Linked DNA regions of Rattus norvegicus. The protein of the gene in region 1 interacts with the protein of each later gene in a biochemical or structural test. Links are inferred from orthologs where the notes say so. Each region holds a gene or a part of one and is shown on either strand. Other genes may lie near its edges.

Region 1 (2,401 bases):
AGGGAGTTCCCAGCACCCATGCACAAGCACAAGTTACATGACTGTAACTCTAGCACTGTGTTGGTTTCCTTGGGCACTGCACTCCGTGAACGTAACACCATTCCCAAACCCCCACTCTCTCACATACACATAATTAAAATCTTAAAAACATAACAAATGGGGCTGGAGAGATGGCTCAGTGGTTAAGAGCACTGACTGCTCTTTCAGAGGTCCTGAGTTCAAATCCCAGCAACCACATGGTGGCTCACAACATCTGTAATGAGATCTGATGCCCTCTTCCGGTGTGTCTGAAGACAGCTACAGTGTACTTGTATACAATAAATAAATAAATCTTTAAAAAATAAAAATAAAAACATAACAAATAAAAGCCTTGGAACATTACTTGTTACAGAGTGTCAGAAGCAGAGAAAGCCATCCATTGCTAAGAAGCCAAGAAAAGGAACGGCCTCATGCATTTTTCACTTCACAGGAGTACACAAAAACAATCAAAAAAGTTGACATTTTTAGACAGTATAAAAAAAAAACTTTAATGGTACAAGAAGCATTTTCCCCCCAGTTCCCATCCAGGAAGACTGAGGTCTGAAGGTGGATCCTCTTTCTATCCCATCTCATTACTGGTTGAGAACAGCTCCTAAAATACAAGTCTTGGAACCTTTGCGAATTGGCTTGTAAGGAGTATGTATCTGCAACATGTATGGCCTGCGGCTTACACAAACATGTCTGGTTACTTGTCCTTCTATCTAGTCTCCACTCCTTCCTGAGATGAGAGGCCTGGGTGCTGGAGGAAAAGTGGCTGGTAGCATTTGCTTGATTCAGTGCATAAAGAAATGTGACTGGTAGCCACAGCCTTCAAAAGGTGAAGCTAGGGTTGCTGTGTGTGGAGTCCTAGGCCATCCTGGGCTACATGGTTTCAGGCCAGTTGACAGAGTGAGACCCAGCTTTACACAACACTTTATAGTACAAGCACAGGTATGAGAAATGGGAAGATTTTGAATCCTGGACCTGTTGCTTTATTTCTTCAAGGCTCAGTCCCCCATTTTCTGAGGTTCTGCTGTCTGTCCAGAGTCTTAGTGACCTGTGATCAACTGCAATCTGAAAATGCTGAATGATAAGTTCCTGAAATAAATAATCCCTACAGTTTACATCGTACACCATTCTGAGTAGCACGATGAAGTCACAGCCACCCTTTCCTGTCCCACTTGGTAGATGAATCATCCCTCTGCCTAGTGCGCCCACACTGAATAACCTACTTGCTCTGTACTCAATTACCCACCTGCTTATTAGATCGAGTGACAGCAATACCATACTACTTGTGTTCAAAGACCCATTTTATCTAAAAACAGGCCCAAAGTGCAGGAGTAGTCATGCCAACTCAGACATGTCAAAGAGAAGCGTTTTCTTTGAGAAAAGGTGGAAGTTCTTGACTTCACATGGGGGAGGGGATCATATGGTAATGTCTATAATAAAAATACATTAAATTAGAAAAATAGAAAAATTAGTACAACCTCTGCTGTGGCACCTCAAACTAAAAAGAACGATAAGTTCTTATTTAAGATGGAAAAGTTACTAAACACAGAACTTAGTTTTGTACACCAACTAAAATGTTAAAAAAAAACAAACCACAGGATTCAATATTATTCACAGATTCAGGGGCCTACTGGCTATCTTGGAACACTCAAAAAGAGTCTGTATTGGTGAAACGTGGGATCAGTTCTATCTCACAAAACTGGAAAGATTATAATTGAGACACTGTAGGCAGAGTTCAGCATGAAGGTGCCTGACTCACAGTAAATGTTCAGTTCATAGTTACTGGTATCTACTCTTAACTTTAATTCCTCAAAGCTTTAAGCTTCTAAATCTTCCCCTGGGATTAAAAGTCTCATAAAATGTGTACTTTCCTCTATTTCCCTTCTTCAGAGTCTGATGGGGAGGAAAGGCGACGTTTAAGAGTCTAATCCCCATGAGTAAGAACCTGAGCAAAAGGGTCCAGAGAGCAATCCTTCATATCTCCAGGGAGAGTCCCTGAGGAAGCGGAGGAACGGGGTTGGGAGAGGAGACACACAGGGCTACGTACCGCAAAGTTTGCGGGGATATGTTGACAAGTCTCTAGGAACTGGATGGCATTGTACAGGACTGGAGAAATGGAGGTGGGACCTCAGAGAGAGGGATGAGGAAGGGGTACCCTCGAAGAGGCACTAGCTGCCGCCACACGCCCGCAGAGCGTCACGGAGCAGAAGTTTACGTTCTCTGGGCATTAGCCTTGGGGAAAAGCCTGCTGTGCCAGTAATCGGGGTTGTCGAAGGCAGAGTCGGTGGCTTCTAAACTACGCAGAGTTTTGAGGCGGGCATAACGAACATGGGGGGCGTGATGTCCAGGCCCCTGGAAAGCTCGCATCTCCTCG
Region 2 (4,212 bases), on another chromosome or scaffold:
CCGTAACCCTAGTGTGGCACTGCTATGTCGACCTAAAGAGTATTTTTCATGGCCTGGAGCACTGAGAATCTCAGGAAGTCTACTTCAGAAGAAAGTGGGAGGAGGGGTGGGAATGTGGGTATGGTTCCCTAAAAAGACTCTACCATCACGTTCTCTGTGATTTGTCCAAAGTGAATTGTTGAAAAATAAAAAAAGTCTTTTTTAAAAATTGCACTATTCTGATGGCCTAAAGAAATGAATTATTTTCACCAGGGCTGCATACCTCTGATAGCTTGTTTTAAAAGACTGCTTTGACCTCCTCTGAGCCACCTAACTTACACATAACAGCACAAATGTTGTCTTTTTTTTTTTTCACTTATGCCCTTTGAAAACACCCTGAGAAGTGTTTCCATCACTCATTTTTAGGAAGGAGAAATAATTCTGAAGCAACATTTGAAGTCCCTCTGGATGGGAAAACTCATTTCCTAAGTCTCTAGTGGAAGCTTCCCAGTTCTTTTGTAAAGAAGAGTTAGCTTATGAGCTTCTCCCAACACTGTTCACTGCACTGTTCCGCACGTGGGACAAGCAGTCTTGAATTCTTCAGTCATTAAGGCTCATTCTGAACATCAGAAAATCATTTCCACAAGTCATGTCAGCCCCAGTGCACACTGCAAGCCAGTCACTTAGAAGCATATGTGCCCTACAGAGCAACCAAGTCTGGTCTTGCCAGGGCAAATTAAGCTAATGCAAGTGATCAAATAAAGACCTCCAGGTCGCTACGCAATCAGTGAGTCTCATGGCTGTTTTCAAGGGGTCCAGTCTGCTCCAACATTGGAAAGAGCTGGGGAGATTTAACAAGGATCAAAGCACATTTTCTCAAACACCTGGGCATTGCTGTTTGTCGGGAATGTTCAGTACCCCAACGTACATGACAGAGGTCAGGAATATGACAGGGTCAAAGAGAAAAGGAGGATGGAGACGGAAGCAAGGACTGCTGGGAAAAGCAAAACTGAAAGCCTGGAAAAGGACTGAAAACAGACGACCAGGAGCTGGAAACCACCTTTTATAAGCTCTACCCATTTTTATGAGGTCAGTTTCTCCACAAGTGGGCAAATCACCTATCAAGTGGCCAGAGCTCTCATAGCAACTTCCAATCCTGAAAAACGGGACTCTGTTCAAGCACATTTCAGAAGCTGAGAGCAAGACAGGCAGTAAGCTGTAACTCAAAACTTTACAGCTGCACAAAGTTCTCAATTCAGCTTCAGATCACTTCGACCTTTACTTTCTTCAGTCAAAACTACAGGAACCTACCAGGAGGTGAGAAAGTTTAAGGCGGGATTGTCCCTTGTGGTCACTTAGGAAAGACCCGAAGGTCTAAAACCTTAACTGTCTAAAGTGCACCTTCTCCATGTGTCCATTGGCTGCCTTCACTACATAAACCAGGCACAAGCACGAAAGTCCTGTTTCTAAGTCTGTATCTATAAACTTGGAAAGTGAATGGAGGGAGTGCCCACAGCGCAGTTCAGATGTTCTGATAAAGTAGTGACCTTTAGACTGGAAAACCACTGTTGCTAACTATACCAAAAAACCCAGGCTTGAAACACACCCAAAATTATTCTCATTCCTCTTCAAAATCCCAGCAGAAAAGCCTTCAGTGGGTGAGGAGCAGAGAAGTCTCCAAGGGAGGGTACCAGCAAGCCACGCCCACTGGTCAATGGGCTGTTTCTTTTTGGGTCAACCAAGGAGGCGGCCTGTGCACCTCCAGCCCAAACTCGGACCTGTTCACCACACACACAGATGCAAAGTTGGCAAGACCGGCCTTAAACCTGTTAGCAAAATAAGGAAAGTCAAATACGGAGGAAGCTGCCGACCTGAATGGGCTACGGTGACAGGGCCCATTCCACTTGGCGCCCAGCTGTGTTCCCAAGCTGTTCACAATACTACTGTTAAGTCACGTCTGCTATCCATTAGCCACCACCCGCGCACACCTTCCGGGAGAATCGTTGTTGTGTATAAATAAGTGTTTTCCAAATCAAACCCCTTCACACAATGCCAAGCTAAAAGTGCTCAAAAGGGAGGTGCCATCGGGACATTAAAAGTCACACATCAAATTCTTGCAGAACCACTTGCTTAAATCGCCCTGAATAAACTAAGGGGGCAGAACAACTGGGAAAAACTTTGGTTCAAGAGGTTTAAGTCTTGGAAATGCGGGACCGGGCGCAGGGACTGGAACCAGGCACAAAAGCGCCCTGAGCCGAGGCAAAGACCTCCTTTAGAGAACGTGACAGCAGCTTTGTGCCGGATCACGAAGTACAGTAAGTTCTCCCCGGCCATCGCAGCCTCCCGCTTCCTAGCGCTGTAGCCCTCGGATCCTAGGCTATTCTTCCCAGGCACGCGCGCCCGGCGACTCGACCAAGGTTCGGTCCCACGCCCGCCGGCAGGCCAGGGTTGCTTGTGTTCCCGAGGGCTTTCGGTCCTTGGTCCCCGTTGTCTGCCCGCGGAGGGCGCCCCACCCCCACGCCAGCCCGAGGCTGAGGGAGGCGAGGGCTCGCAGGAAGGTGTGTATCCGAGGTGCGGGTGCCCGGGGACGGCAGGCCGCGCCGGGGCCGAGGGCACTAGCCGGGTGCGCAGGGGTACGCGCTCCCTGGCCCTCCCAGGGCGGCCCCGGCCCGCCCACCCCTCTCTTCCAACTCTACCGACCGGCCCAAGTTTGCAGCCCCCGCCATCGCCTTACCTCGCTGCACAGTGCACGCCGAGGCCGGAGGGCAGCAGCGCTAGTCCCGGGGCGGCGGCCGCGCTGCGCCCGCCCAGATGCCGCTCTTTGTCTGCACCGCTCCCTCCTCCCGCCACCAAGCGGACGCAATTGGACCCGGCGGACCCTGCCGGCCCGGGAGCCCCGAGCCTGCCCGCCGCCGAGCCCACCCCACCACCACTGTCGCCGCCGCCGCCGCCCGCTCGGCCGCGCGCACCGGCCTGCGATCTGCGGCGGCGACCCTCCCGCGCAGCGCCCGCCTCCGCGCGCTCCCCGCCCGCGCTCCTCCCCGGCTGCCGTGACGCCGCCCAGGGGCCGGCCCATCCCGGCGCACGCGGGGCGGGGTACCCACCTGGGAGTCCCGGCCAGGCCTAGGGAAAGCGCCGCCTGCGGGCTTCAAGCCGTAACCCGTTCTAAATTGGAGTTGGGGGCACACGGGAGGGGCTGCAAGGGAGAATGAAGGGCCACTTCCAGCACACGAGACCCGGTGGTCTCCGCACCCCGGCTGTGCCTTGGATTCTTACAGCGATCTCCCTACCCCGCCTCCCCCCAAGCATTCCCACGGCACTCTCAGCCAAACAGGCCTGGTGTCTGTCAGAAAAGTGACTTACGTGAAAATGTCACTTCCTCCCAGTAATTGCTTGTGGGCATTTTCTTTATTTATTTGCCTTGCATTTATTTACTTTCCCATCCAGACACTTTTTTACTCCACCCCACCCCCGGCCCCCCAGGCGGGACCACTTCCTAGTGGGGGGGGGGAGGAGAGGAAACCCGACCTCTGCTGCCTCCGCAGCGCCCTGGCCAGCTTCTTAAAGCCCCGGAATTCTTTAGTACAGGAGGCTGAGAAAGCTTTAGAAGGAAGTCTCTCTCTCCCAGCCTTGAGTAATAGCTAACCTGTAAGCAAACTTGGAAAGCTAGAACCCTAGAGCGAGGGGAAGGAACACATATACCTTACACACCAGAATCCAGATGTTCCTTCTCCAAGCTCCTTCACTCATGATTCCCCAAAGGAAACACTGATATTCAAATGAATTCAGTTTTCCGGTTGGACAACTCACGTTTATGTTAATGAGATTCTACCCTATCTCTTGGCTCCTCCTTATTAAGGAAGGCAGCAGCAATACACCTTAAGTGACCAGGCAGCTGCCTCCCTCCCTAAAGGAAGTTCCCAGGCATAAGTAATCTGAGGAAGCTTGGCACCATCGTCATAGCAGCCTTTGACTGTAGGCTACCTGAACTGTGTCACCTTACATAAGTCTTTCACAACTTCCTCAGCTTTAACACATGAGATGTTTACCTGCCCTCTATGTAAAGTAGCTGGCATGTAGCCGATACTAGGGCATTGGGAGGAATCAGATACAAAATTAGCATACCCAACAGTCTCTTCCAGTCAGAGACGCTAACTTCATCCTTTGATGCAGACCTCATCTTGTTACTATCTAGCTTTGCAACAATGAAAGCAGAGCTCTAATCAATAGTTT
Region 3 (2,223 bases), about 130 Mb from region 1:
TCCTCGGAGCCCTGTGCCAACCACCCTGCCCGGACTCCGCCATGCCCCATGGCAGGGCCCTCAGGGCCCCTCAGATAGCCCAGATGGCTCCCCTCTTACTCCTGTGCCTACCCAGATGCCCTGGCTTGTGGGCAGCCCAGAACCACCTCAGAGCTCACCCACCCCTGCGTTTCCCCTGGCTACCTCCTACGAGACCAACGGTCCCACTCAGCCTCCACTTCCTGAAAAACGACACCTGCCGGGGTCTGGGCAGCAGTCATCGCCACCAGCCAGAGGCACCAATCAGCATGTCACCTTTGCATCTCCTCTCCCAGATGTCACCCAACCCCCAGGTATAAGGCTCTAGGAGGACCAGGTGTCCTTTAAAGAATCTCACTGTCCAGAGAGAGACCATGGGAAGCCCTGGTGTCTGAATCAGTGCCTCCCTCTTCTAGAGCACCCTTTACAAGAGAACCAAAGCAGTGTCAAGTTTGTCCAGGATACATCAAAGTTCTGGTACAAGCCTCACCTTTCCCGAGACCAAGGTAAGAAGCCAGAAAACATCATGTGCCCATCCCAGTCCACTTCCCAGGCCCGTCTTGGCTGTAAGTCTGTCATCCTGGTAGGGCTTTCGGTTCCTTCTGTCTCTGCTCTTGGCTGGGTTACTCCCCAAAAGAGATTCTAAATTTGGGCCTCAGACTAAATATTATTCAAAGTCCTATGACCCAAGGCCCCAGACTCCCGCAGCCCCCCACGGCTGTCAGAGTGAGAAACTTGGGAACCTGCTAGTGGGACTGTCTGAGGCTGACAGCCATCTCTAAACTTCTGCCCTGCAGCCATTGCCCTGCTGAAAGACAAGGATCCTGGGGCCTTCCTGATCAGAGACAGTCACTCTTTCCAGGGAGCCTATGGGTTAGCCCTCAAAGTGGCCACACCCCCACCCAGCGCCCAGCCATGGAAAGGTACAGAGCTCTCAAGCTGAAGGTGCAGATGTGGAGAGGGGAGAATTTGCAGGACTGGGATAGTGGGAGTGAGGAGGTGCACAGCACATCTCCATGTGGGGAAGGGTTGAGGCAAGCCTGCAGCTGCTTGGGAAAGAGTCCTGTGGGGAGAAACTGAGATCCTGGAGTCCCATAAAGCTTTACTTTTACAACCCCTCATTCCTCTCAGGGGACCCCTCAGAACAGCTGGTCCGCCATTTCCTCATTGAGACTGGACCCAAAGGTGTGAAGATCAAGGGTTGTCCCACTGAGCCCTATTTTGGTGAGAACCAAGAGTCTGAGGGGGTTCCAGGGTGGATGGTTAAAGGAGAGACCTAAAGAAAGGAAGAGAAAGCTCTGACTGTGGACCCCTATGATGTTTCCCCCCAACCCCTCACAGGAAGCCTGTCTGCCCTGGTCTCACAGCACTCCATTTCTCCCATCTCCCTGCCCTGCTGTCTGCGAATTCCTAGTAAAGGTGAGTGATCCGTCTCCTCCACCTTACTTCAGGGTGGCTTGGAGAGCCTCTCCCTCTTGACGTTCCTTGGTGGCCTTCATCTCCTCAGATCCTCTGGAAGAAACCTCAGAGGCCCCAGTGCCCACCAACATGAGCACGGCAGCAGACCTCCTACGCCAGGGAGCAGGTAGATCCTTGCTTTCCCCTTCCTCTCCCTGGTAGTTAAGAGGATACCATGGACTCCAGGTACAGGGAGGGGCACTGAAAGGGGTATGGGTGGCAGACCCAGCAGGTATATTTAACCTGCAAAGGCAGAGGAGCCCCGTGTTTTCAGGAGGTGAGGAAGGGGGTCACTGACCAAGTTCTCAGGGTTTACAATACAGGAATCACAGCGGCAACAGGCAAGAACTTAAAGTGTGTCTCCTCAGTCCTCCCCCCAGTGTTACTGGCTGTAGCTCCCTTGGAGTCTGGAAGTTGCCATTCTAATTTGTCAGTGTGTGATTCCAGTGCATTCAGGCAGCACTGGTCAGGGAAGTGCCCAATATGGTGGGATAAGAAGCTAATGGGTGACAGATCCAGGTCCTGGCAAAAGCATGTAGCTCATTAACCTACCTCCTCTCTTTAGCCTGCAGTGTGCTCTACCTGACCTCGGTGGAGACAGAGTCATTGACTGGCCCTCAAGCTGTGGCCAGGGCCAGCTCTGCAGCTCTGAGCTGCAGCCCTGTCCCAGTGCCAGCCATTGTCCACTTCAAGGTCTCAGCTCAAGGCATCACACTGACAGACAACCAGAGAAAGTAAGCGTGGGCA
Region 4 (2,590 bases), on another chromosome or scaffold:
GGCCTCCAAATGTACTTAGGGTTCTGGCTAGATCCTCCCACAACCTGCATTCCCTCAGAAGTCCGAGCAGATGGACCATAGGCAGTGCTTAGGCACCCTGTCCCCAGCCTAGTGCAGGGTCAGGCATTCTAGCGGGTAGCTCAGGACAGGCGCTGCGACTCTGATCCTTTTAAGGCTTGCATAGGGAGTTGAGAAGAGTCTGGATGCTGGCCAGCACACAGCAGTTGTAGACAGGAGTGGGGGTCATGTCTTATCCACTTGGCCAATTTCCAGCAGGTCCCCCTTCACTTCTGTTAGCAGGCGGTTGACCAAAGCCAGTGGCATGGGAGTGGACTCTGCAGAGAGCAGAGTTAAAGCTGGGCTCTGATGCACCTGGTAGTAGTCTTCTAACCTGGGACAAAAGCCACGGAGGGAGGAGAAAGGCCTGTCCTTCCTACTTCTCTGGCTCTGCCAGTTAATTATCTCAGCCTCTGCTGAAGCTGGTCCTCAGCCTGCTCAGCCAGCTAGGACAATCTTTTTTTTTTTTTTTTTTTTTGGTTCTTTTTTTCCGGAGCTGGGGGACCGAACCCAGGGCCTTGCGCTTCCTAGGTAAGCGCTCTACCACTGAGCTAAATCCCCAGCCCCCGTGCAAGGACAATCTTATCACAAGAAAAAAGGACCAGAGGGCAGGGAAAGGGTGGCTCCCCCCCCCCCCCCAGAACTCTGACCCTGAGAACTGGCATTTGTGGAACTCACCAAACCCAGAAAGGTGGCACCTCCAAGCTGTGGTATATGTGACTCTTGCAGCTTGCTGAGCCCTGTTCCCATAGGTGGGAAGTTGTAAGAGAAGGATGTTCTGTGCCTCCTTCCTCTAGAGAGACTACCTGAGAGGCCTGAGGGGGCGGGGGGAAGCCTTGAATGATCCTCTTGCTCTCCTAGAGCTCAAAGCCCAAGCTCCAAGAGGCCTGCTCCAGCATCCAGGAGGTCCGACCCTGCACACGCCTGGAGATGCCGGACAACCTCTACACCTTTGTGTTGAAGGTGAGCGCCAGGGCTGTGGCTCCTTGGGGAGACACTGCTGTCTCCTCAGGTGCAGAGCTATATGCCTCCTTTCTGCAGGTGCAGGGCCAGACAGACATCATCTTTGAGGTGGGAGATGAACAGCAGCTGAACTCATGGCTGGCAGAACTCAGGGCAAGCACAGGCCTAGGGTGAGGACCTGCCCATCCCTGGTTCCCTTTGATAACCCCTGCTGGCCCCCTTCTCACCAGCCTCTTCCCCTACAGGTTGGAGCACCTGGACACAGAGTTACCTCTTTCCTTAGTGGCAGAGCCTGGCCCAGCTATATCCCCAAGGGGAAGCACGGACTCCCTGGACCAAGGTATGTGCCAGATCCTTGGTCTCTGGGTGTCCTTGGACATGTGGCCCCTCTGCGGGTCACCACCACCATCTTTCTGCCAGGTGCTTCACCTGGGGTGATGTTGGACCCAGCCTGCCAGAAAACAGATCACTTCCTGTCCTGCTACCCCTGGTTCCACGGCCCCATCTCCAGGGTGAGGGCTGCACAGCTGGTTCAGCTGCAGGGCCCTGATGCCCACGGTGTGTTCCTGGTGCGGCAGAGTGAGTCCCGGAGAGGGGAATATGTACTCACATTCAACTTACAGGGCAGAGCCAAGGTAGGGGCAGGAACTGGGGGACCAGGGTGGGGCAGATGCAGCCTGGGCAGCAGGCTGATCTCTACCCCTTCCCACAGCACCTCCGCCTGGTGCTCACAGAGCGTGGACAGTGCCGGGTGCAACACCTGCACTTCCCCTCGGTGGTGGATATGCTCCGCCACTTCCAGCGCTCCCCCATCCCACTTGAATGTGGAGCAGCCTGTGATGTCCGACTCTCTGGCTATGTGGTAGTCGTCTCTCAGGCACCAGGTAGGAAGCCCAAAGTTGTGTCAAGGGGTGGTGTCACAGCAAGTACAGCACGTACAAAACTTCCTTCCTGGTTACGCCTTCTTCATGGAGTCATCCATGTTATCTCTCCAGGTTCCTCCAACACCGTTCTCTTCCCCTTTTCCCTTCCTCACTGGGACTCAGAGCTGGGCCATCCCCACCTCAGCTCTGCTGGCTGTCCCCCTGGCCATGGTGCAGAGGCTCTCCGTGGCCAAGTGACACCTCCTGAGCAGATCTTCCACCTGGTGCCTTCTCCTGAGGAACTGGCCAACAGTCTGCGGCAGCTGGAGCTTGAGTCTGTGAGCAGTGCCCGGGACTCAGACTATGAAATGGACTCCTCCTCACGGAGCCACCTTCGGGCCATTGACAACCAGTACACCCCTCTCTCACAGCTGTGCAGAGAGGCAAACTTGTGAATGTAACCATTTTCCTTCCCTCCAGAGAACTACAGGCTGCTGCTGTCAGCCTTCCCCAGCTCAGATGTGCCCTGCTTCCACCACACACAAGGCTGTCACAGGCTTCCTGTCAGCCACAGCTAGCCCTGGCTTCTTCCCACTGTCTGTAGATGTAGTTCTTGTGCACAGGTGCCACTAGCTGGCACCCAAGGCCTCGTTCCCAACCCAGAGGAGGCGGGGCTGCAGGCCCAGAGCTGGCAGTGGAAACTGACA
Region 5 (4,115 bases), on another chromosome or scaffold:
AGTGGGTGGGACTCAGAATGTTGCTAACACAGGGTGGTACTCAGAAGAATTCATGCCCAATACACACTACAGCTAAACGCGTGCCTACACGCATGCGTAAATGAATGGGCGACACTGGTGGTCTAGCCCGGCTAGAGGAGGACCCCTGTACGTTTCCGCAGGTGTGTATCGGGCGTTCAGAGTGTTGGTTCCTGTCAGATGTTCTCTACCCTCTTGTCCCAGGCTGAGAGGAATGCCATGCAAACAAGGCCTCAGTGGTCTGCGGGTCAGACTTCCTCTCCTTCAACTTGGGAGGTCCTCTGAGCAGTCCCATATTCTGCCCAGAGAATAAGACAGAGAGCTCCTGCAGGCGCCAAACTTTGCATGGAGTTTGAATAAGCGGCGGGTGGGCAGATGGAGGGAAAACCGCTGCGTGTGGGAGGGACCAGAGGGCCTTGGAGACCCACCAGAATCCTGGAGGGCGTGGTTAGACTTAAAGGGAGCTACATTCCTTCTGTGGCTGGTTTAGAATCTTTGAAGTGAAGGGCAGAATCCGTTGACCGCTCAAGTGCAGGATTTGGGATTTATGGGATTAGGATCCCGTAGGCGGGAGTGGACGTAGTACAAACTATGGGGAGCGAGGCCCTGGATTCCATCCTCTGGAAAACACACACACACACACACACACACACACACACACGCCCTCGAGATTATAAATCTAGAGAACAGGGGTTAGGACTGGGAGCTGAATAGAATAGAGGTTAAAAATTCTTCGCCAGGAGGAGGCGGGTAAAGATGCCTGCTGCCGAGCATGGCTCCCTGAACTAATTCCTGGGGACTGGCAAGATGGAAGGGGGGAACCCTAGTCTCCAAATTGTCCTCTAACCTTTACACGGCACAGAAGCTCGAGGGTAGTTATACACATACGCATACACGTAATCAATCAACCAATCAATCAATAAATGTAAAATATTACAATTCTTTAGAGGCCGCAAGGGTATGGGGTCTCTTGAGTAGGAGGTCAAAAATCCCTGGGGGCGTAGGGTTTAGACTCCTTTGCACCAGAACATTCCATCAGGTGGGGCTTAAATGCGTTAGTGGGGGTGGGGGGACTGGGAATCTTTGGAGGACCAGTCAAACATTGGAGTCTAAGTCAGTCCTTCAGGGACTGGTTAGCGCCCTTGAGGACAGGGTTAGCATAAAGATGCTAATTTCTTTGGAGTGGGTTAAGAGCGGGAAACCAGAGAGCCAGAGTGAGAGTTAGACTCTTAGAGGGCGGAGTCAGGGCATTTTTGGGGCGGGGTTTACATCATCCAGGGTGCGGCTAAGGCGCCCAGATGGCCAGTGAGCACCACCGGGTTGCCGCTCCCCGCTTGCACTTTACGGTTGCGGCTCTCAGACGGGTGGGAGGGAACCAAAGTCGCCGGTAAAGGCGGCTCTGACCCGCTCGGAGCGCCAACGCAGCCTCCGTAGCCCGCAAGTCTTCGTCGCTTGCTCCGGGCTCTCGAGTCCGGGGCCACCAGGGGCCGCGGCGCTGGGGGGTCGTTCGAGCTGCGAGGATCCGGGCTGCCCGCGAGGCGAAGGGCGGGTGCCCAGGTGAGTGCGAGGAGGAGGCGAGGGCGGGAATGGGACCCCGATAACGTGCAGACCTCCGGGGCAAGGAGTTGGGATCCTGGGTGAGCTGTGGGGGTGGCGAGGAAAAAAGGATCGTCCTAGGGGCAACCGATCGGTGGTGGGATGCGCCATTCACAGAAGGTGGAGAGTGCCCAGGTGGCCAGGTGAGGCGAATTGCTGCCACCCAGGGCGACCCTGGGATAGCTCTAGATAGAGGAAGCTCAGGCAGGGGGATGACAGTGCTGAGCTGAAGCTTCTCTGCTCGACCAGGTTCCCCTTCTGCGCACACACACACACACACACACACACACACACACCCCAAGAAGAAGAAGCTGGAGGGGAGGGAAAAGCCCGGTCGGTTCCCATTAGTGGTGGGTGGGTGGCAGGTCACGCAGGGTAGGCAGCGGGCAGGGCTGAAGGAGCAGCTGGGCCAAGACAAGCCCATGCCTGCCACACCCAGGCCTGGCTGCAGCTGTACGTCTGAGTCCCCTCTTTTACATCTTCCCCTGCCCTCCTGGCTGACCCCCTAACAGGTGTACACCCAACTCCAGAACCCCTTACACAAGGGCCACAGTCTACCACCATCTCCTCTTTGTGACCCTGGGGCACGTCGCTGGTTACTCTCTGGATCCCAGCTTCCTCCTCTGTAAAATGGGCTGTTTTCTTCTGAAGCTGAGTTGTTCAGAGAGGGCGAGCAGGTCTGCTGGGCATTGGACAGGCAGTCTGGCTTTTCCGTGCCTGTTTTTATAGTTGCAGGATGGGGATGGTAAACTACTCCAGATCAAAGGTGTTTAGGATTTTGGAGTGTGGCAGAATTCTGTATCTTAAGTGCACAGTGAGGCATCTTGGGGATAAAATCTAAGTTTTAAAAAGATATTTGTGTTTGATTCATATGCTTCTGGGTGGGCGCACAGGTTGGCGTGTACTCTGGTGTACTCATGGTGGGCACATGAAGGCCAGAGGACTCTGTGTTGTTCTTCAAGTAAAGTCCACCTTGCTTTTGGAGACAGGGTCTCTCATTGGCCTGGGGCTTTTGCTGAGTAGGTGAGGCTAGCTGGTTAGTGGGTTCCAAGGGTTCGCCCGTCTCCTTCCTAACACTGAGAGCTGAGCAAAACTCCCAGCTGGCTTCTTTTCATGAGTTCTGGGGTTGTAACTCAGTTCCCACTTTTTGCAAGGTACTCACTTTACCAACTGGGCTATCTTCCCGGCCCCATGATTTTTACATTTCATTCTCATCCCTTGGAGATAACTAGGGGCACATTTTTAATGACTCCTCCATTTTTAATTCAACCCGTAGCCACTTGGATCATCCTGTCGGTGCCCAAAATGTTTCAGGTTTTAGAGCATCTCGGATTTAGGCTTGGGAATTCACTTTGAAAGATGAAATAAGAACGGAAGGAAAGGGAGCCCAAGGGGTGGCTCTGCAGCTCAGAGCACTCGCTGTCCCTTCAGAGGACTCTAGCTAAGTTCTCACCCATCAATCACAGCAATGCCTCGAACCTGCCTATACCTCGAGCTCCAGGGAATCCATTGCCCTCTTTTGGCTCTGTAGGCACCTGCACACATGTGGTCTGTCTCTGTCTCTGTCTCTCTCTCACACACATTAAATCTGAGAGAGGGGGGTGGAGAAGAGAGAAAGATAGCTGAAGGAAATCTCTCGGAGCACTCTGAAGTGTACTTTCCCCTGTTCCCGTTCAGCCTAAGAGATTCTCATACCAGCATCACCAAGAAAGCATGTCAAAATGCCCATTGCTAGGGCAACCCCGAGAGGGAGGCCAGGGGGTCAAGATACTGAGGACTGGCAATCTCCAGGCTGTTGATGCTGCCCAGAAATCCGACTTTGTGAATCACTGCCCAAGCCTAGGGCTAGCCTAGAGAGGCCTCACAAAAGAGCAGTGGCTCTCTAGTGCCCTTCTCAACCATGCCCCTTCTCTGGAGGAGGAAGCCTGCTGTTTAAAGGAATATATGTCCCGGGAACCTACCACCCAGAATTAACTAATGTCGGTGTGTGGGTATGTTTGCTTCAGACTTTAAAAAGTGAAATGGTGGGTTGGGGATTTAGCTCAGTGGTAGAGCACTTGCCTAGGAAGCACAAGGCCCTGGGTTTGGTCCCCAGCTCCAAAAAAAAAAAGAACAACAACAAAAAAAAAAAAAGTGAAATGGCTAAGTGTGCTGGGTAAAAAAAAGTCCCTGCTTTGGATCCCCTCAGTTCTTTTTCCCCCTCTACAGGAGACCCCACTGTCAAAAGCCGATCCTTCCTCTCTGTGCCTCAATAAACAATACACAAATGCGTCCTCTGAGCTGTAAAGATTACAGCAGAGCCCAGTGCAGAAGCACACCTGCAACTCCAGAACTTGGGCGTAGAGGCAGGGGGAGCAGAAATTTAAGGTCATCTTTGGCTATAGCAAGAGTTTGAGGCCAGCCTAGGCTATAAGACCCTGTCTGTAAAAAAAAAAATAAAAAATAAAAAAAAATAGAACAATCTATATCTGTTCACTTTGGTCAACAAGGGTTGCTTCCCA
Region 6 (4,166 bases), on another chromosome or scaffold:
TCAGACTGGGACTTACCATTAGAAGGAAGCGTGACAAGGCAAAGGCAGAAACAGTGATATCCAAAGCAAGACAATCTAATGCCCTGAATTTCTACGTAACGCAAATTTCAAGGTGACCGTTTGCAAACCAAAAGAATAAATGCTCTTAATCTGGTTTGATCTATTGACAGAATCCTAAAGGGGGTTAAAAAAAGTTCTCTGGAGGGAGCAAAGTGTCTCTCCATTCACCCCTTCTACCCCCAATCATATCATGATAGGAAACAAACTAAAATCTAGCCCACAGACATCATCCCAATTTGTTTCTGGGAAACGGGGAAGAATATATCATGGAGTCTGGTTTAGAGTCACAGCTGTGGGGCTACAGATACACAAGGGAGCCAGAGAAGAAACTCTAGACTTCCCTAAGAACATTAGGTAGCCCTGAGACGGATGCCCACCAGGTGAGTCAAGGCTGCAGACAGCCCTGAGACGTCTAACCTCTCCCCACCTGAACCACTGCCTTCACTAAAACATCTGAGGTATGTTGTGGACTTAGCGCCCTAGTTGAGAGATAAAGCTTGCTACTGAAAGAGTCGCTACCTAGTCAAGCCACCACCCCATCTCAATTCAGGAGAGCAACTAAGCTCTCAGGCCTTCCTAACGCTTGAACCCTTTAATTCAGTTCCTCAAACCATAAAATTATTTCGTTGCCACGTAGTAACTGTAATTTTGCTACTGTTATGAATCTCCCTCAGAAAGAAAGGGTCCTTTGGCTCGCACCCCCCTAGGGTTGCGACCCACAGGTTGAGAACCACCGGTCTAACCAGCCCATGCAAACCATTGATAAAAGCCACAAGTGGTGACAAGTGAAACAGAAAGTTCTTTATACCTTTACGATTCTGGGTCTCTTTAACATACTATGATGACATTAACCCAGATCCCTGTTGTTCCGTACTTTGTTGAGTACAATGTTGCAGTTAATCTCCAAAATATACAGTAAATATTGGGAAAACATCCGTCTACCTTCAGGAAGGCTCACGCGGGGTAATTAAGGTGAAACAGATCAGCAGCGCCTTTTAAGCGGGCCAGTGGCTAAACAATTACTCTCTGTTCGGTTTCTGTTTTGTTCTAAACCTTACTTAGGGTCCCTGCCAACAACCCAGGTTCTGAAATGCTGAGCGAATCCAAGGAGCGCACTAAGAAAATGTGGTTTGTTTTCTTCCTGCACGGAGCAGATATTTCTGCTTATCTCCTTTAGGCACAGACTGCACAAGTGTTGTTAATTTCCCTGAAGTACTTCACAATGTGTGTTGGGGATGCTCTAAGAGTCACAAGGCATCCAGATCCACTGTAGGGGACTGCAGAGGGACGGTAAAGACCCTCTCAGGCGCCACCCCTTAAGCATCTATTTAATAACTCTGACAAGTTTTGGTCACAGGCGACCTTTTATACCTCTTCTGACCAAGTCAATGTAATAGCCTTCCCTTGAGATATCTAGGGTGGCAGTGGCCTTTAGATTGCGCTCCGACGGTGGATTAAAAAGATCTGGTAACAAAAAAACCTTAACTCCCCCCACCCCTTTTTCATTCCATATATAATCGGTAAGCAATGGGGTTCAAAACCTGGGGTAAATTGTTCCTTTCTGACGTCTCTTGGGAAACTAAACTAGCCATCTTTTATCAGGGCAACCCTGAAAACTTCAACAGCTGAAGCCAAATTTATTCAGAGCGGACCTGAATCTTGGCACCGGGTCAGGTTCTGCGTGCTTCGCTGACCTTTAGGAATCCCTCTCAGCCGCTCTGGCTTTCTCTATCGCCGCACGCAATCAGAGCGATCCTAGGCTCGCACAGCGGCTGTCCAACCGCTTCCCTCCGCCCACCTCGCGGACGCCCGGGCGCCCACACCACCCTTTCCCCGACCACCCTCCGCGCAGCCCGGGCCCAGGCGGAGGGGCGCAGGCTCTCGAACCCAGAGCCGGTTCCCGCTTCTCTCGCTAGAGGGCAGACCCGGCCCGCTCAAAGTCCTCGGGCCGCAGGGCACGCGCAGCCCGTAGGGATCCCGCAATCGGAGCCCCACTCCCGGGCTGGGCTCCGCGATTGACGCGGGGACCGAGGGCAGAGCCCGGGAGCGCGGCGCACAGCCGACCCCAAGGGCCCCGGAGGGATGACCAGCAGGCTCGGGGTGCGGGAAGCGCACGGGCACCAGGTGGAGGCAGCCCCCGCACCGCAGCTCGGGGACCGGGTCAGGCGCCAAGAGAGCTGAGCAGGGACGCACGGGACCAGAGTAGGTGCCCGCCTGGGAGCAGCGGAGCGGCTGGCACTCACCTGGGCTCGGGTCGCCCTCGGCGGGCCCGGGCTTCCCGCGGGATCCCCGGTCCTTCTTCTTGCCCTTCCCCTTGCCTCTGCCTTCTTTGCGCTCAGACATCTCGCCGAAGATGAGCGCTCTACGCGGACCCGGTTGGGTGACGGTGACGCGCGACAAGTTTGGTCCAAGGGCTTGCAGAAAAGTTTGTCCCAGGAGGGGAAGAGCCAGTGGCCGGGCTGCTCGGGAGGCGTCGCCTGTCGCCTGCAGGAAGCAGCGTGGACTCGATCACCTGGAGCGTCCGCTCAGTCTGGAGTGGCTCGGAGCTGCTCTAGTGTCCCGGGTCCCTCCGCTGCCGGCTCTGGAGTGGCCTCGCTTCGGTGGCTTGTCTCGCTCTCTTACAGCCCGAAGAGGGAAAGGTGATCACAATCCGGTCTGCGCTCGCATCTCCCGGCAGCTGCGGCCGCTGCGCTGCGCTCGGCTCCTGCTGCCCGCGCGGTCCGGAGTTCCCACAAGTTTTGGGGAAGTCCTAGCCGGCTCTTTTTCAATTGCCCGCAGGTTGGACGCAGGCGCCTCCTTCGCACCCTCCCCTCGCCTCGCCCCCTCCCTCTTCCCCACCACACCCCCACCCCGAGGCGCAGACACGCCACCGGGAGGAGCCTGAGCTGGGCGATCGCGGCTCAGCCCCTTTCTTCTGGCAGCCCGGCCAAGCTGGGGGCGGCCGAGCCCAGCGGCTGCCGGGAACTCCCGACAGGGGTCGCTGGAAGCTGCGCTGACACTGCCACAGCCGCCGCCAGACCGAACGGAGCAGTCTGGAGAGCCCTGGAAGGGACGCTGGTGCTAGCAGTCCCTGGCAGGCTGCTGAGCTGATCCAAGCCTTGAAAAGTGCGTGGTAGGGGAAGTGAAGGGTGGAAGATGGAGAAAAGTTTGTAACTGTAGCACCTGCTCCACAATGATTGCTCTGGAGACCTGGAATCCCAGGGAGGGGGAGGAACAATTGCTATTTCCCAGAAGGGTTCAGAGTTCATTTCTCTCTGTTTTAGGGAAGTTTCTCTCTGGCACTAAGGGCGAAGGTGCAGTCTGGGGTGGAACGGAGTTTGAGGTACTGAGGAAGGGTTCTGTGAACTTCAAGCATGAACAGTTTGCACTGATGTACCATCAGCCACTTGAGCACGTGTCTGCCTTCCTGTGCCTAATAGCATGACTATTGGATTTCCCATCTCCATTTTAAATACTCACTCTAGCTTCTTCCTAAGCACAGATATCTCTTTCTACAACTTAATTTCCAAAAGAACTAATGAGCCATAATTCACCATCGACAGTAACGAGTCTAAGGTGTGTCGGTAGGGTCAGATCCTCGAGTGAGGGAGTGAGTTGGGACCGTAGAACAATGAACTGTGTAGTCCAGATCTTTAGTTCATTAATGCCACACACACACACACACACACCCCTATTAGACTTTCTGAGAACTGCTAGTGAATTCTAGTTTTCCTGTATCCAGGTAGAGAACTCTGAGGAGGAGTCAGAGGCCAGAGTAGTCCGCACCAAGAAGTGATTCACATTGGTCTCCGTGTAGAGACACTGTCATCAACACACACACTTGTGGCCAACTTAGCCTGCTCATTTACAGTGGTATAGAGTTGTGGTTGAGAAACAGCTCACACCAACGATCAATACTCTACAGCTATCCCACTTTCAGGGTGATTTGGCTCCTTCCTTTTGACTTCCTGGAGTTAACACTAACAGACCCATTGCTGTCTACAGCTTTCTCTGTGTTCTCTGGCTGCCATGATCTAAAGAAAGGTGAAATCCAGAGTACACCTTTCACACATGGGTGGGAAGGGAAGTGGGCAAGGTGTTCACTTAAATCGTCTTAAGAATCATTT
Region 7 (3,500 bases), on another chromosome or scaffold:
TGAGTACTCTGGTAATCTAATTTGCAGTTCTTGCTATAACAGCAATGTCCGTGGAAGCAAGACCAACAGACACTTCTTTAGCCTTGAATAAAACGGCGCCTGCTACATCCCTCACTTGCTCTCTCCTGTTCCCCAGATTTGCAGGGTGAACTGAAACGTGATAACCCCCAGGACCTGCCAGGTCAAGGCCTGTTTCATGATGCAGCACAACTGAGAGCAGCCCAATGGAGGCCACAGGCCATTCCAGAGAGGGAGGGCTGCACTTTTATGATGTATGCATGATGCTCGCTTATTTTCCAGTGCAGTTTCCAACTGTGTCCACACTGCCCTGCCCCACCACATTCACTTTATCTATTTATGTGATTTCCTTTTTGCTGTTCTGAGATGAACCTGTAAACGTGAGAACTCAGGGGTCTGAGGTACTTCACATAAACACACTCAAGTATCAGTCTTTCACTGTTTGAGAACGAGAACACAGGAAAACAAGTCCCTTTCCCTCTCCCCTCAGAATGTGCATTTCCCCACTAGGCTGACAATGGCTACCTCTGCACCACATCACTAATTTCCTGTACACATGACAATAAGTTATTAAGGACAGGGTTTGTCCCAGGCACACCAGCAGCTGTGGAAGACACCTGCAGCTCCTGTAAGCTAAGTTCCAGTTTGCTCACAGCCTCTCGGAAGGCAAATTTGTTGCGAGTGTGGGGGATGCAGTCCACATACCCTGAGCAGTAGTGGAGTAGCTGGTGCCCAGTGTCCACCAGCTGGCTATGGGGCACAGGTTCTGTGATTGCACTGGACAGTAGGCCGGCACACTCCAGCAGGGCCGCTTTGCTGATTTTGTCAGCTGAGATTTTCTCAGCTGCCTGTTTGGTTTTCCTCAGGGCCACCTTAGTACCTGCTGTGCCATTGGCCATTTTGGCTGGCGAGATGGAAGATGTGGGCAAAGGCACTTGAGGTGGAGGCATCACTGGCCTCCCAGGTTTCCCACTACTGGGCACTGGCCCTGGAGCTGCCTTTTTTCCTCCGTCCTGGGTGTCTGGAGTGTGCTGTCCTGCAGGGGGGGCAGTTGGCTCTTCCTCGGGGTCTGAGCATGTGGACGGATGCTGCAGTAGTCTCATCACTGGTGGCGGGGGTGGGGCACACTTTGGTTTTACCCGTCGGGGTCGGTCCTTGTCTCCAGAGGATGTGACCTGATGCTCAGATAAGAGCTTGAATTTGTTCCCCTGAGAGTCTGTGCCAATGAGCTGCACATCAGCTGCAGTGTGTTTCAGAGTGGGTGAGATAAGGACTGGCACTTTGTGGTTGTGAGTGGTTGGGAGGACAGCTACAGCCTTGGCTGGAGAAGACCAGCCTGGCTGCTCTGCGTCCTCTGGGACTCCAGCGACTCCAAGCCGCGTCCCACCATTCCTCTCCTTGCCTTTGGGGGCAGCTGCCACTCCAGCCACCCCTACCCCTGGACAGTCACTCTCAGTGATGGCTGGATCAGGGGCTCTCAGGGCAAGAGCCGTGGCTCCTCTGGGCAATAGTTTGGCTTTTGGTCTCTCCCTGGCTGGAGCAGCACCTTCCTCTGATTTTTTTGGAAGCATGTCATTAGCCCTGTCCACATTCTCTTCTGGTTGAGAAGAGGTGGACACTGTCCTTTCCAGCTGGAGTTTGGACCTCTGGCAGTTCCTGGGAAGGGTCATTGCCATCCTATCCTGCTCGGGGAGCCCTGAGGACATGGAAGATGTAGAGTTTGACCTTGGAAAAGGCTTGGAAGTGTCATCACTGGCTGTCGGTTTACCTGCTCGCAAGCCCAGTGTCTTTTTGATTAAGCGAGGTGTAAAGAAGCCTGTGATACCAGACCACCCACCCGCAGCAGTGCCACTACCCCCACCCCCACCACTGTCATCATCACCACAGAGGTTCCTCTGTGCAAAGCTCCCCCCATAGCACTTGGCTGGCACCAGATTCGACTCTTGCTGGCCGGGAGTGAAAGAGAACCCATCAGCATGCTGCAGAGAAGCAACAGGTGAGAAGTTACCCGTGAGTTCATATTTCTTGTGGGGCTGATTCTCCATTTCTCGAAAAGAGCTGCTGCGCTTAGGGGGCATGGGGGCATTTCTTTTTTTCATGAAGGAGCTGAAGAAGCCTCCCTTCCTGTCCCTGGTGAAGCATGTCTCTTTGGCATCTTCTAAGAGGCTGCTGGGTGACTTATCTCTTTGCTTTCGAGGCAGAGCTGGGGACCCACTGGAGGCCTGGGTGCTTCTAATGAACCCTGCTGAGAAATGGCCAATTAGTAACAGAAAAGCCAGTTAGTGTGACTACCTTAGAAAGTTCCGTCTGCATTTCTTGAATGTCAGATGTTGGCACTACTCAGGAAGTTCACAAATAAGTCACTGACTCAGTGACTAGTGTTCCAGCCGTGATTTGTACATTAGTGCCTCAGTAGTACCTGCTGGTCTCTTCTGTATTTGTCCCTTCTATAGAAGATAGGTGTACACCATCACCCATCTGGGTAGCTACCTAGGAGCCAGGAACTAAACAAACAGATCTGGTAGCAGACTGCATAGGACTGGATAAAACTGCCCACACTGGCAATGCAGACCCAAGGCCAAGTAGCATTGTGGTCCTTTGTTCTTCAAGGGTTACCCTTTCTGCTCTGCCCCCTCCTACCTGGTGCTGAGCTGGAGGCCAGGATCTCGGAGGCATCAAGGCCCCCATCTAGGTTCTCTTTGTTCTCCCCCTGCTTCTTCAGGGTCCTTGTCTTGGAAGGAAGTAGTGGCAGTCGAGGCAGGTATGGAACTACAGATGAGGAGGAGGCAGTTCTCCCAAGCTCCTCAGCTACCTCTGTGAAAAAGACAAAGTCTGGTAAAAAGAAAAGAATTCTAAGACAGAGACCAAGGCATATAATTGAAAAAAGAAAAGCAGAGAGCTGAATACTGAAGTTCGTAAAAGCAGATGGGTGTACAGGCTGCGCTATAGTCCCAGCTGCTCAGAAGGCTGAGGCTGGGGGATCTCTTCAGCACAGAAATAGGAGACCAGCCTTAGCAAAATGTCATCTTGAAAATTACAACAAAATTATACAAAGCATAGAAATGAAATGAGCGTATGAAGTCTTATGTGTGACCTCACCCATGGAGGGAGAGGCTGATGCCGGGCCTCTTCCCCAACAGCTCTTCACCTTACCCTTTAGAAAAGGGTCCCTCGCCAGCCTGGAGCTCAGCTTCAGCAGAGAGCTCCTACTTCCAGCTCCCACACACAGGTATGTGCTGCCACGCCTGGCTTCACACTTGGTGGCTGGGGATCTGAATTCAAACACTTCACTAACTATAATAATAACTATTATTCCTGCAGGTTTACTTTTCATTGCATGTGGCAGGATCCCTTTCTCGTTGCCATGAAATATTCTGATGTGTGAGACTACCAAAATTCATTTGTCCTCCTCTCGGTGTTTACATAGGATGTTCCCAGTTTGAGCTATTATAAATATGATACTTGTTCTGTGACTCAGGGAC

Evidence for each region.
Region 2: the proteins of Erbb3 (region 1) and Nck2 form a complex in vitro, tested with the Homo sapiens proteins (2 studies listed by BioGRID and IntAct, with this or other methods). The link is inferred for Rattus norvegicus from reciprocal best matches to the Homo sapiens genes ERBB3 and NCK2.
Region 3: the proteins of Erbb3 (region 1) and Tns2 form a complex in vitro, tested with the Homo sapiens proteins (2 studies listed by BioGRID and IntAct, with this or other methods). The link is inferred for Rattus norvegicus from reciprocal best matches to the Homo sapiens genes ERBB3 and TNS2.
Region 4: the proteins of Erbb3 (region 1) and Sh2b3 form a complex in vitro, tested with the Homo sapiens proteins (2 studies listed by BioGRID and IntAct, with this or other methods). The link is inferred for Rattus norvegicus from reciprocal best matches to the Homo sapiens genes ERBB3 and SH2B3.
Region 5: the proteins of Erbb3 (region 1) and Hck form a complex in vitro, tested with the Homo sapiens proteins (2 studies listed by BioGRID and IntAct, with this or other methods). The link is inferred for Rattus norvegicus from reciprocal best matches to the Homo sapiens genes ERBB3 and HCK.
Region 6: the proteins of Erbb3 (region 1) and Nrg1 form a complex in vitro, tested with the Homo sapiens proteins (8 studies listed by BioGRID and IntAct, with this or other methods). The link is inferred for Rattus norvegicus from reciprocal best matches to the Homo sapiens genes ERBB3 and NRG1.
Region 7: the proteins of Erbb3 (region 1) and Abl2 form a complex in vitro, tested with the Homo sapiens proteins (2 studies listed by BioGRID and IntAct, with this or other methods). The link is inferred for Rattus norvegicus from reciprocal best matches to the Homo sapiens genes ERBB3 and ABL2.

Annotation. Positions count from the first base shown.
Region 1 is NC_086025.1:1,578,579-1,580,979, forward strand, and holds the end of Erbb3 (receptor tyrosine-protein kinase erbB-3), read right to left. Parts: coding exon 2,239-2,401; 3' UTR 501-2,238; downstream 1-500. UniProt on the Homo sapiens protein: Tyrosine-protein kinase that plays an essential role as cell surface receptor for neuregulins.
Region 2 is NC_086027.1:53,205,567-53,209,778, reverse strand, and holds the start of Nck2 (cytoplasmic protein NCK2), read right to left. Parts: upstream 2,801-4,212; 5' UTR 2,714-2,800; intron 1-2,713. UniProt on the Homo sapiens protein: Adapter protein which associates with tyrosine-phosphorylated growth factor receptors or their cellular substrates. Maintains low levels of EIF2S1 phosphorylation by promoting its dephosphorylation by PP1.
Region 3 is NC_086025.1:135,122,559-135,124,781, forward strand, and holds part of Tns2 (tensin-2), read left to right. Parts: coding exon 1-332; intron 333-434; coding exon 435-524; intron 525-815; coding exon 816-941; intron 942-1,149; coding exon 1,150-1,242; intron 1,243-1,359; coding exon 1,360-1,437; intron 1,438-1,525; coding exon 1,526-1,603; intron 1,604-2,041; coding exon 2,042-2,210; intron 2,211-2,223. UniProt on the Homo sapiens protein: Tyrosine-protein phosphatase which regulates cell motility, proliferation and muscle-response to insulin. Phosphatase activity is mediated by binding to phosphatidylinositol-3,4,5-triphosphate (PtdIns(3,4,5)P3) via the SH2 domain.
Region 4 is NC_086030.1:40,409,656-40,412,245, forward strand, and holds part of Sh2b3 (SH2B adapter protein 3), read left to right. Parts: intron 1-565; exon of another isoform or gene 566-588; intron 589-918; coding exon 919-1,020; intron 1,021-1,098; coding exon 1,099-1,190; intron 1,191-1,265; coding exon 1,266-1,360; intron 1,361-1,440; coding exon 1,441-1,655; intron 1,656-1,732; coding exon 1,733-1,904; intron 1,905-2,015; coding exon 2,016-2,338; 3' UTR 2,339-2,590. UniProt on the Homo sapiens protein: Links T-cell receptor activation signal to phospholipase C-gamma-1, GRB2 and phosphatidylinositol 3-kinase.
Region 5 is NC_086021.1:162,030,518-162,034,632, forward strand, and holds the start of Hck (tyrosine-protein kinase HCK), read left to right. Parts: upstream 1-1,315; 5' UTR 1,316-1,513; coding exon 1,514-1,575; intron 1,576-4,115. UniProt on the Homo sapiens protein: Non-receptor tyrosine-protein kinase found in hematopoietic cells that transmits signals from cell surface receptors and plays an important role in the regulation of innate immune responses, including neutrophil, monocyte, macrophage and mast cell functions, phagocytosis, cell survival and proliferation, cell adhesion and migration.
Region 6 is NC_086034.1:66,811,276-66,815,441, reverse strand, and holds the start of Nrg1 (pro-neuregulin-1, membrane-bound isoform), read right to left. Parts: upstream 2,801-4,166; 5' UTR 2,404-2,800; coding exon 2,304-2,403; intron 1-2,303. UniProt on the Homo sapiens protein: Direct ligand for ERBB3 and ERBB4 tyrosine kinase receptors. Concomitantly recruits ERBB1 and ERBB2 coreceptors, resulting in ligand-stimulated tyrosine phosphorylation and activation of the ERBB receptors.
Region 7 is NC_086031.1:71,310,949-71,314,448, reverse strand, and holds part of Abl2 (tyrosine-protein kinase ABL2), read right to left. Parts: intron 2,833-3,500; coding exon 2,659-2,832; intron 2,264-2,658; coding exon 540-2,263; 3' UTR 1-539. UniProt on the Homo sapiens protein: Non-receptor tyrosine-protein kinase that plays an ABL1-overlapping role in key processes linked to cell growth and survival such as cytoskeleton remodeling in response to extracellular stimuli, cell motility and adhesion and receptor endocytosis.